Linked DNA regions of Cricetulus griseus. The protein of the gene in region 2 purifies or fractionates together with the protein of the main gene of each other region. This does not show direct contact. Links are inferred from orthologs where the notes say so. Each region holds a gene or a part of one and is shown on either strand. Other genes may lie near its edges. The genes, in order: Pnn, Srrm2 and Eif4a3.

Region 1 (3,371 bases), on a different chromosome or scaffold from region 2:
AAGGGCATAGACTGAAAGCCAATCATGAAAAGCAGCAAGCAAACCTTGAATCACACAATGGGCTGCATCTAGGGCCTAGCACTTTCTAAGCACTGGATCATACCCCAAATTCCCGTACTGTACTGATGTCATCTATGGTTATGAGTTCACACTGCTCTAGCAGAGGACTGAAGCTTGGGCCTCAGCATCCACAGCGCAGCTCTTTTAACTCTCCAAGGGATCCAATGTCCCTGGCTTCCTTGGCAGCTGTACATACACACAGACAAAACACATTTAAGTAAAAAATGTTGAATATACCTTCCTTGGAGGCTCTCCCCACCCAGTATGCTCTTTTTCTCCTCAGCCATTTTAAATTTAGCAATTCCTTTACCAACTTATTCCACCGCACAGCACAAGATCAAGTTTTGCTAAGAGTACAAATTGTTAAGCCGGGTCTTGGTGTAAACAGGTTCACGAGTCTAGTAGGTGGTTCTATAGTTTGATTTTTGTTCATTTAACACAAGAAAAGGATTTTAAAAAAGAATTCTTTTCACATTTGCTTTAACACATGGGTTGTACAGACACAAAACTAAATGAAGATTCTGTTCATTTTTCATGCACTGTTTACTTGTAGATAGCTAAAGCTACAATTTTGAAATATCAACTCGAAAATAACCACTGCCATTTAAATGCTCTCATATGCATAGGAATGTTAATACAAGTACTAATCTTAAACAGTCACAAGTCTAAGCCACATTTATTTGCACACATATAGTAATGGGCAACAGATACTCCAAGTCCATACAAATTTATAAACAAAGTTAATGATCACTTGGTACACTTCTGAATAGTTTACATAGTCAAGCCTAGATGAGCTTCCTTCATTGTGTAAACTTCCATACAATACTTCCTTAAACAAAAATTCTTGAAAACATATACTGGCATGTTTCAGTTATAGTCAACAGAAAAGACAAGACCACAAATTCAAAAACCAAGTTCAGAAGATACTTTTACCGCTCCCCCCCACCACCCAGGAGGTGATAACTATGACAGATTTATACACTATGTTGTTATCACACAAGTAGCTGTGAGGACAGAGAATGATGTTCCCATAACCATGAAATGACAACCAAATTATACTGTTTAAATTATCTACCAACTGAATGGTTTAAATGAAAACAGGAAAATGCTTAGATTAAAATAGTAAGATAGGAAATAATTAAATGCTTAAAAAGAACTATTCCTCGTCAAAGCTGTAAAGACCTGGTAACTCAAAATAACTGTTATCAGGCAAATCCAAGTGATGAAACTTTCAAAAACATTCTAATTATGTTCAGTATCTTGTGACAAACTGAAAATGATATAAAGATATTTATTATACAAGTGTTAACAAGGACATCCCAAAAATAATGAAAGATGCACATTTATTTCTACAAAAGCAATGTATGGTACAGAACATAAAGGAACAATTTAAAGATTTACCTATTAAAATATACAGATTCTGACTGAAGAGTAATAGGGTATTTAAAAAAGATGACAAGGGATGTTAATCTTTTTTTATTATTATTATTTTTACATATTTTGGAACCTCACATAATTTTGATAAATAACTCTTACAAAATTATGCAAAAAGTACAAGAATGTCTGGTAAACAAACAGTCTGTATTTTCCAAAAAGAATTTTTACAACATGCAATTCTTAAGGCAGCATCCTCCTTACAAGGTAATCCTTTTACTCATCAAATCTTCTGCTGCAAATAGGCTAAGAAAGCCTGGCTTCTTCCATTAACGCCTTTTGTCTTTCCTGTCTGATTTTCGGTCTCTTTCACTTCTTGAAGATCTTTTGCCTGATCGACTACTTTCTGATATAGACCTTTTTCTGTCAGATCGGGAATTCTTATCCTTTGATCCTTTTGTATCTCTACTACTACCACCTTTGGAAGATTTGTGACTTCTTTCTAGTCCTGAAGTGTCCCTTCGCTTCCGGTCCATGCTCCTCCTGTGCTTTCTATCTCGGTTATGTCCTCGGCCCCTACTGCGACTTCTACTGTCACTGCTACTGCTAGTGCTGCTGCTGCTGTCTCTGCTGCTGCTCCCACTGGTGCTGGAACTGCTACTCGAACTGCTCCGACTACTGCTGCTGCCACTGCTGGAACTGCTCCCACTGCTGCTACTGGTAGAACTGCTACTGGAACTACTGCTGCTACTGCTGCGGCTTCTACTCTTACTTGTCTTATTTCTTGCTCGACCTCTGCTTCTGCTCCTAGTTTTGTTTTTATTTTTGTTTTCTGAATGTACTGTCAAGACTGGCTCTACAGGCATCTCAGGGAGTTTTATAGACTCTATAGGAAAATCCTTCCGCTCAGGCAGTAGATTCCCTTGCTCCTGAATAACCTGAGGTGGAGGCTGCAAAACTGCTAATGGCAAAGTCTCAGGCTGAGTGAGAGGCTGGGACTGGAGCACAGGTTGGGGCTGAGAGTGCAGCTGAGGGTGGGGCTGGCTCTGGGGCAGGGGCTGAGGTGGGGGCAGAAGCTGAGCCATAGGCTCAGGTTGGGGCTCAGGTTCTTTATCTTCTTTTTCCTCTTTTTCCTCAGACTCCTTTTCCACATGCAGAGAATTAACATTCTCTTTTCCAGGAGAAAGAGATTTACATTCTTTATCTGGCTCAACATCAAACTCCATCTCTGGCTCCAATTCTTTGCTAGTTTCATTTTCTGAAGGTTCTATACTTTCAACTTGATTAGTCTCCATTACTTCCTGCTCAGCAATTACATTTTTGACACTCTCAACCATCTCTAACACATCCATAACTTCTTCTGGCTGACTATCCTGTTGCTTCTCACCTTCTCTTACCTCAGTTTCCTCCTCCATCTTAGCCTCCATTTCCTGCTTGTGTTCCTCCTCCTCCTGCTCTTTCTCTGCATCGCTATGAACTACACCTGCTTCCTTTTCCTCTTCCTCTCCTGCCTCCTCTATTTCTACATCATTGTGCTGATTACCTGTCTCCTCCAACTCTTCCTCTCGCTGAGCCACCTTACCCTCTTCTTGTTCCGCCTTCTGGTCTTCATTACGCACCACCTGATGCTCTTTTTCCTTCATTGATTGTCTTCTAGGCCTAGCCTCCATTTTATTTATTTGTTCTGCAAATTCGATGCGTCTACCTTCAAATAAAGCTAAACAATAAAAATTACAGTAGTTAAGAAAATTAAAAATAACAATTTTAAACCAGGTCACAAACTGTCACCACCATCTAATCATCTTTTCATATGCCTAGGGGGTTTTTTTTTAGACAGTGTTGGGAACTTAACTCAGGGGTCTTATTCAAGCTAGACAAGCACTCTACAGATGAACTAAACTACCAGTCCCTAAATGTTTTCCAAAAAAGATGACAAA
Region 2 (3,647 bases):
CTGGGGAGGCAGGCTCAAGCAGAACTCTTTGAGTTCAAGGCCAGCCTGGTCTACAGAGTGAGTTCCAGGACAGCCAGGGCTAGAAAAACCCTGTCTTGAAAAAAAAAAAAAAAATGTAAATTTAAAAGTGGTTGTGTATCTAGGTCCTAGTGTGTGTGTGTGTGTGTGTGTGTGTGTGTGTGTGTATGAGAGAGAGATGGGGGGGAGTGGAAGAGTGGGTGAGGGGAGGGAGGGATGGGGAGAGAGATTCTATTTTGAGGCAAATCTTACTATATAGCCCTCCCTGACTGTCTTGGAACTACCTATGTAGAGCAACTTAGCCTCAACTCCCAGAGATCCTCTTGCCTCTGCCTCCCAAGTGTTGAGATTAAATGTGTGTATCACATCTGATTTCATTAAATTGTTTTGAGACAGGGTCCTTAATATGTAGCTAACCCTGGCTGGCCTCAAAATCAGAGATGTGCCTGGAGTGGTGGGATAAAAGGTGTGTACCACCACACATATCTTAATTATTTAAAAAAACAAAAACAGGGGCTAGAAGCAGGAGGGTGGGGGGTGGCGCACGCCTTTAGTCCCAGCACTTTCGAGGCAGAGGCAGGTGGATCTCTGTGAGTTCAAGACCAGCCTGGTCTACAAACACTAGTTCCAGGACAGCCTCGAAAGCCAGAGAAACCCTGTGTCAAAGAAAAAAAAAAAAGGGGGGGGGGAGTGACTAGGTCAGCAGTTATAAACCCTGGCTGCTCTCCATTGGACCTTGGGTTCCTTTCTGAGCACCAAGGCAAACACTCAACCATCTGTAACTCTACCACCAGGGGATCTAATGCCTCTTCTGGCCTCCAGGGGCACCAGACACACGGCACAAAAACAAATACAAGCAAAACAACCATACACACAAAAATAAAAATTTGACCTAAAGACAACAAAATCTAAAAACTTTGGAAAGGAATAGTGGCACACTCCTTTAACCTCAGCATTGGAGAGGTAGAGGAAGGCAGCTAGCCTGATCTACAGAGTGAATTCCAGGACAGCCAGAGTCACATAGTGAAACCCTATCTCAGGCCAAAAAATAAAAAAAAAATAGTAGTAGTCTATTAGTAATAATACAATACTTTTAACAAGAAAGCAGATCCAGGCTTCTCTGAGTACCTGTATGGTTTGGGGGGCTCAGGAACTGCTTGTTTAGCTTCTCGAGCACGTCTCTGAGGATCAAAAGAACTGCCATCCACATAGGAATCACTGATGCCAAAGGCTGCACGGAGTCTCTCATTCTTCTTCTCATTCAGTTCTGCCAACTGATGGGTCTCAGTTACCCTGGAGGGGAAAAAAGGCCCAAATCTGAAGGAGACATACAGGGAACAAGTAAGAGCCCCAATTTAGAACTTAATTATAAAGATGAGTCAAACAGCTACGAAGGCAAAACCCAATCCCAGGTCCTTTTTAGAAAGGATAGCCATAGCTATAATATCATAGACTCCAAAGAACTAAGAGAAAAACACTTACATTGGCCTCTGCCCTGGGGTTTCTTCCTTACCCCCAGGGTTCACATCCTTCTCCAGCAACATGAGTCGAAAGGTCGCCACTTTCTCCTGAATCTGCTGTTCTTCGTACCTGAAGGATAAATCCCTTCATGGTTAGAGCTTGACAGGGGTTTTCCCAAGTCCCAATTTATAATTGCTTCCTTTTCCAACACGGTCCTTTTACCTTCTCCATTCACACAGTATTGTAACTCAAAATTTCCGTAAGTTTTCCTTATCTTTCCCCTTGACCCTTCCTTCCTTTTCTACACTATTCTCTCTAGAACAGTGGATTTTAAACATGCTACAATTCAGGGGCCAAGAGAGGACAGTTTGCTTGCTGGCATAGTTCCCAGTGCTCCTTTCCCAACTTCAACACAAATAGATCTTTTATTTCCTGGGACTTCAAAGAAAGCATAATATATAAAAGGATACCATTGCTCAAGTTTGAAAACCACTGCTCTAAACAGGTTTCTACCTGAATGTGCTCCTTTTCCAAATTTTCACTTCTCTGCCAAGCTCATGATATCCACTCTTTCAATTCCAATCTTCTGCCTTTGCCACCTTCCACAGCCGAAATCCCTTAAATCCACCTACCTTTCTCTTCCTTCCAATAACAACACCTATCAGGTTACCTAGCTCTTCTGCCTGATGCTACTTTCCTATACAGCACATTTTTGGCCCCCTTCCCCTTCATAAATTCAGCTAAATAATTCAGACCCCCTTAGCTATCACTGCTCCAAACAGTTTCCTTGACATCCCCACCATGCACTGACCCATGACTCTTGATTCTTCAAGCTCATTCTTTCTCCCTTACAACTCCTTTTTAGGACTCTGTCAACCTGCTCCAGTTTCTTTCCACACATCCCACCTAACACCCAACTAAGCACTCACTCAGTGCTTGGCTTCTCCCCACCCATTCCCTCACCCCTGCTCTTCCATCATCTCCTCCAGCTCGAGGCATCGCAGCTCCACGCGCCGCTTGCGCTCGTGGTCCAGGATGTCAGGATTAGGCCGCTTCACCAGGGCAGCCTCCAGGCGCCGCAGTTCCTCCTCTCCCTTGTAGTCAGGCCGCTCACCACGGCGGCCCCGCACCAGGGACAGGTTGCGCTGGACGTAGCCGTTGGTGCCGCTGCCCCGGGGCGTCGGCAGCCCGATCCCGTTGTACATGGCCCTGTGCCCAGGGGGGCACCACCGCTCCTGAGGGGGAGCGGGGAGACACCAGTCAGGCTCCTGACCCCAATCTAACTACTTACCACATCTCCCACATCCCTGGCTCTCTTAGCCTTTAGTTCAATACTTAATTAGTCTCACACTGAATCTCCATTAGCAAAATGATGTTTCCTCATTCCACTAGTCTGCAAACAAAACCCTCCCTTTATCCTCCCCACACTTCATCCTTTCCACTAAATCACCACCTACTTTTAAATCTTTTCTCACAATATACTTTCACCAAATTCTAAAGCCATTCTTTGTACTTTTATTTTCCTTTCTACACCCTAACCAATCAAGAATCCATGTTGTCTCAAATCTCTCCACACTAATCCTTTATTCTTCTCTGGCCACACAATACACACAAATGGTATCTTCATCAAGCACTCTGAATATAACTATTGGTAACCAAGTTCTCAAAATGGCACAACAAACACCATAGATCAATCAGAAGCACCTAAAGTCCATTTTCAAAGACTCCTCCCAAGAGAATAAGTATTTAGGCTACCTTAAACAAACAAGAAATGGATTAAACAGTCTTGGGTATCTAAATAGGTAAACTGACTAGTAACATAAACCAAATGTCCTATGCAGTCTCACACCCAAACTACTGGCAAGCAAGATCAGAAACAGAGGAAACGTGGATACATGAGCTTATACTTCATATGGGGAAGGTGAGCCATCTCCATTCTCTTTGATTCCAAATATTCAAAGCTCCTACCAACTACAGTGATTTTATTATTTTAGTTTTCTTCCCAGTAAGGTTTACCACATAGCTTGCAGCTCCTCCAAGTCTGGCTAGCTCTTGTTAAATATTGTCTGTTTTTTAACTTGATAGTCTAAATACATAAAACCATTTTTCTCTGTTCCAACTGTTTCCATACTTTCTTTACAAGTGTCTAGAAACCTTCAAACTTCGTA
Region 3 (4,359 bases), about 89 Mb from region 2:
TTTGAAAATTAAAGCAAGCCAGGCAGTGGTGGTGCACTTTAATCCCAGCACTTTGGAGTCAGAGGCAGGCGGATCTCTGAGTTCCAGGCCAGCCTGGTCTACAGAACAAGTTCCAGGACAGGCTTCAAAGCAATACAGAGAAACCCTGTCTCAAAAAACCAAAGGAGAAAAAAAAAGAAAATAAAATTAAGGCAAATAACAGTTTGGAGTATAGTTCAGTACCCAGCATATGGAGGGGGGAATAAAAAAAAAAAAAATAAAGCTACTAAAAGAGTATCTTGGGCTGGAGAGATTGCTCTTCCAGAGGACCCTGGTCCAATTCCCAGCACCCACATGGCAGGTCACACCTGACTGAAACTCCAGGTCCAGGGCTTCTGACACACTCACACAGACATATATGGAGGCAAAACACTAATGAACATTTAAAAAAAAAGTATCTTGCATAAATCTACACTGAGTAGGAGAGCAGTTGCTCAGTATGTGCAGTGACCTGGATATGACCCACAGCACCAAGCACCTTCCCAAAATATACATGGCTAAAAAAAAGGGGGGAGGGCTTTTCTAGATAGGGAAAAAAGTCAATGCTGAGCTGGGGGTGTAGAGAGGACAAGGCAGACTCATCTTCCCACAGCCTCACTGACCCAAGTTGGCTCTCAGCACCCACAACTTACTGTGCAATGACATCTCTCCCCTTAATTATCTGCTTGATAGCACGCTGCTGGATCGCTGAAGGTTTCTCAAAACCTGCAAATACAGAGAGGAAAAAGACTCAGCCCTCATACTGTGACAGCGTAGACACCACACAGCACAGGCTCCCTGGGGGCACACATACATACAGGCTTCTTACTGCCAGCCCAGGCCGCCAGGTGAACCACGCCTTACAGACTGGCCTGGAAGATGACCTGTGAGGACAGTGTCTACAGAGCAGCACTGAGAAGGTAGAGGCAGGAGCACCAGGAGTCCCAGGTCCGCCTAAGCCACATGAAACCCCCTCTGCGATAAAAGTCATAAATCCAGAAGCACAGAGGTTGCTCCCTTTCCTACTGGCGAGCACTCCAATCCACTTGCTGCCTGCCGTCCCCAGCATGACGTGGGCACCGCATGCTGCTCTCACCTGGCTGTAGCCCCATTATCTAGGCACCACCCCTAGACAGACGAGGCATGGTTGTGCACTCCCTAAATCCCAGCACTCAAGAGGCAGACAAAACTTACATTGAAAAGCTATAGTTCTTTTTTTTGTTTGTTTGTTTTTTGTTTTTCGGGACAGGGTTTCTCTGTGGCTTTGGAGGCTGTCCTGGGACTAGCTCTTGTAGACGAGGCTGGTCTCAAACTCACATAGATCTGCCTGCCTCTGCCTCCCGAGTGCTGGGATTAAAGGCGTGCGCCACCAACGCCCGGCCTTATAGTTCATTTTTATACTTTAAGCTAGCAGCTGGGCAGTGGTGGCTCACACCTTTAATCCCAGCACTTGGGAGGCTGGATCTCTGTGAGTTCGAGACCAGCCTGGTCTACAAGCCTGAGTTCCAGGGCAGCCTCCAAAGCCACAGAGAAACCCTGTCTCAAAACAACCGCCCTCCCCAAAAGGTTGTAGCTAGCACACCTTCCCAATTCAACACAATACCTATGATGGTTATCTTAGTGGTCAATTTGACTGCATCTGGAATTAACTAAAAACCATTTAAAGTGGGAAGACCCACCTTCCCCGTCTGCATAGTGAGTTCCAGTTCAGCTAGGGCTATGTAGAGACCCTGCTTCAAAAACAAAACAAGGGTGGGGGGGAGATATGGTGGTGCAGGCCTTTAATCCCACCACTCAGGAGGCCTGTGAATTCGAGGCCAGCTGGTCTACAAAGCTACAGAGAGAAAACCTGTCCCAAAAAGAAAAAAAAAAAAAAAAAAAAAGAACAAAAGCACCATCTGGGAGGCAGGGGCAGGTAGATCTCTGAGTCTGAGGCCAGCCTGGTCTGCAAAGAGTTCCAGGGCAGCCAGGGCTACCATGAAGACACCCCTTCCCCAGGTCTGGAAAGAACAAAACCTAACAAAACAGACAGAGCGCAGCCTCCCTCAAATGCTCCTAAGCACACAGCAGCCACATGACGCAGGGCTGCACTCTGCCTGCCACTGCCACCAGCAGACCCTTCAGCCCCAAAGCATCCCCAGCATCCCTTCTTCTGCGGCCCGGACATCGTCCCGCCTCCTCCTCCAACTCGCTTCCCTCCAAATCCGGACACCAAACTAAACGTTCAAACGGCAAACCCGACCCTACCGCCTTTCCGCATTCAACTGCAGAGGCTTCGGGGTGGTCTAGGAGCGAGTCTCACCACACCTCTCACAGCCTGGCCGCGGGCGTCCTCCGTGCGCCCCGGGGCTCGCTCTCCTCTAACTGTCCGCGGCCCTAACGGGGCTGAAACCCCGCAAGGCCCGACCCTGCGGGACCCACGGCCTCGGGGCCCGGGGCGGGCTCGCACTCGGCTGCCGCCACCCCAGCGACCGGGCGAGCCTGGCTGGGCGGCCCGCGGGAGAGCCGGGCCTGCGCTCCGAGCGGCTCGCACCTTCTCCGCCACCCCGCCCGGCCTCCCCGCGCCGCGAGGCCCGCGCCCACCGTAGGCGTAGATGCCGCGCAGCAGGTCCTCCCGCAGGCCCATGGTGTCGAACGTGGGGGTCACGTCCACCTCCTCGCTGGTCTCGAACTCCACCTTGGTCATGTCCTCCTCTTTGAGCAGCCGCTTCCGCGCGGAGCCCGACGTCGCCATCGTGGCCGCGGCCGCCATGATTCCGACTCCGCCGAGCGCCGAGCGCGAGCCGCGGCGGGAACCGGAAGCAGGGCTCCGACGCCGGCGCCGGCGCGGGAGGCAGGAAGTGACGCCACCACGGAGCGACACGGCCCTCCCAGAGGCGGGAGGCGCCTGGTGTGGCGGAAGCGGGAAGCGCGGCGCCGGGCGTGGGCGCCGCTCCCGTTCTCGCGAGATCCAGCGCAGCCGCGTGATGTGCCCCCGCGCCGTCGGTGCGCGCTGTGGGGTTTAGGAGGCTCCGGGCAGGGGCGCGGGGTCCCCGGGGACGCGGCGTGAGGGACGCCCTCGCTCAGCACCGCCCCCGCCCGCGTTGCCATGGCAACCCCGTCCCCCGCGCGTCTGCGCAGCCAGAGCCGTGTGTCTGGCTGTGCCCCACGTGAGTGTGTTCCTGGGAAACGCTCGCTTACACCTGGAGGACACTCAACTGCCAAGAGTGACTAACGAGACCCTCCTGTATGTGTGCACACTCACACACACGTGTACTCACACACTCACGTGTGCACACTCACACTCATGTGTACACACACATATATACACACATCACATGTGTACACGCTCATGTGTACACACTCACACATGTGTACACGCTCATGTGTACACACTCACACATGTGTACACACACACGTGTACACATTCACACATGTGTACACACACACGTGTACACATTCACACATGTGTACACACTCACGTGTACACATTCACGCACGTGTACTCACACTCATGTGTGCACACACATATATACACACATACACATGTGTACATACGCATGTGTACACTCACACACATGTGTACACACATGTGTACACACTCACACTCATGTGTACACTCTCACACACATGTACTCACACTCACGTGTACACACTCGCGTGTGCACACTCGTGTGCACACTCACACTCGTGTGTAAACAGACACGTGTGCACACTCACACATGTGTGCACACACACGTGTACTCACACACTCGTGTGTACACACACATATATACACACATACACGTGTACATACGCATGTGTACACTCACACACATGTGTACACACATGTGTACACGCTCATACACTCATGTGTACACCCTCACACACGTGTACTCACACTCACACTCACGTGTACACACTCTCACGTGTGCACACTCACTCGTGTGTAAACAGACACATGTGTGCACACTCATACACTCATGTGTACACCCTCACACACGTGTACTCACACACACTCACGTGTACACACTCTCACGTGTGCACACTCACACGTGTGCATACTCACACACGTGTACACACTCACACATGTGTACACACATATACACGTGTACACACTCACGTGTACTCACACATATATATACACACACAGTACACACTCACACACACACGAGTCTTTAAAAGCTCCCATAAAAATGGAAATCGTTTATGTCCAGTGGTTAGAAGCAAACTGTCCGTTTCTGGAGAAGTTGCGGGTTGCAAGATACCCGCGCTAAAACAAGTTCCTGCCGCCTTCTCTTGCGAGCCTGGCTCCTGCTCCGGTTTGTCCGGATTTGTCAAATGTATGTGATATTAATCAGAACATTAAACACCGAGCGGGCC

What was found.
Region 1: the proteins of Srrm2 (region 2) and Pnn purify together in Homo sapiens (affinity purification with mass spectrometry; 3 studies listed by BioGRID and IntAct, with this or other methods). This does not show direct contact. The link is inferred for Cricetulus griseus from reciprocal best matches to the Homo sapiens genes SRRM2 and PNN.
Region 3: the proteins of Srrm2 (region 2) and Eif4a3 purify together in Homo sapiens (affinity purification with mass spectrometry; 3 studies listed by BioGRID and IntAct, with this or other methods). This does not show direct contact. The link is inferred for Cricetulus griseus from reciprocal best matches to the Homo sapiens genes SRRM2 and EIF4A3.

The regions. Positions count from the first base shown.
Region 1 is NC_048598.1:143,470,555-143,473,925, forward strand, and holds the end of Pnn (pinin), read right to left. Parts: intron 3,152-3,371; coding exon 1,764-3,151; 3' UTR 585-1,763; downstream 1-584. UniProt on the Homo sapiens protein: Transcriptional activator binding to the E-box 1 core sequence of the E-cadherin promoter gene; the core-binding sequence is 5'CAGGTG-3'. Capable of reversing CTBP1-mediated transcription repression.
Region 2 is NC_048600.1:43,323,047-43,326,693, reverse strand, and holds part of Srrm2 (serine/arginine repetitive matrix protein 2), read right to left. Parts: intron 2,715-3,647; 5' UTR 2,685-2,714; coding exon 2,443-2,684; intron 1,609-2,442; coding exon 1,501-1,608; intron 1,312-1,500; coding exon 1,147-1,311; intron 1-1,146. UniProt on the Homo sapiens protein: Required for pre-mRNA splicing as component of the spliceosome. As a component of the minor spliceosome, involved in the splicing of U12-type introns in pre-mRNAs.
Region 3 is NC_048600.1:131,838,082-131,842,440, forward strand, and holds the start of Eif4a3 (eukaryotic initiation factor 4A-III), read right to left. Parts: upstream 2,833-4,359; 5' UTR 2,771-2,832; coding exon 2,602-2,770; intron 745-2,601; coding exon 672-744; intron 1-671. UniProt on the Homo sapiens protein: ATP-dependent RNA helicase. Involved in pre-mRNA splicing as component of the spliceosome. Core component of the splicing-dependent multiprotein exon junction complex (EJC) deposited at splice junctions on mRNAs.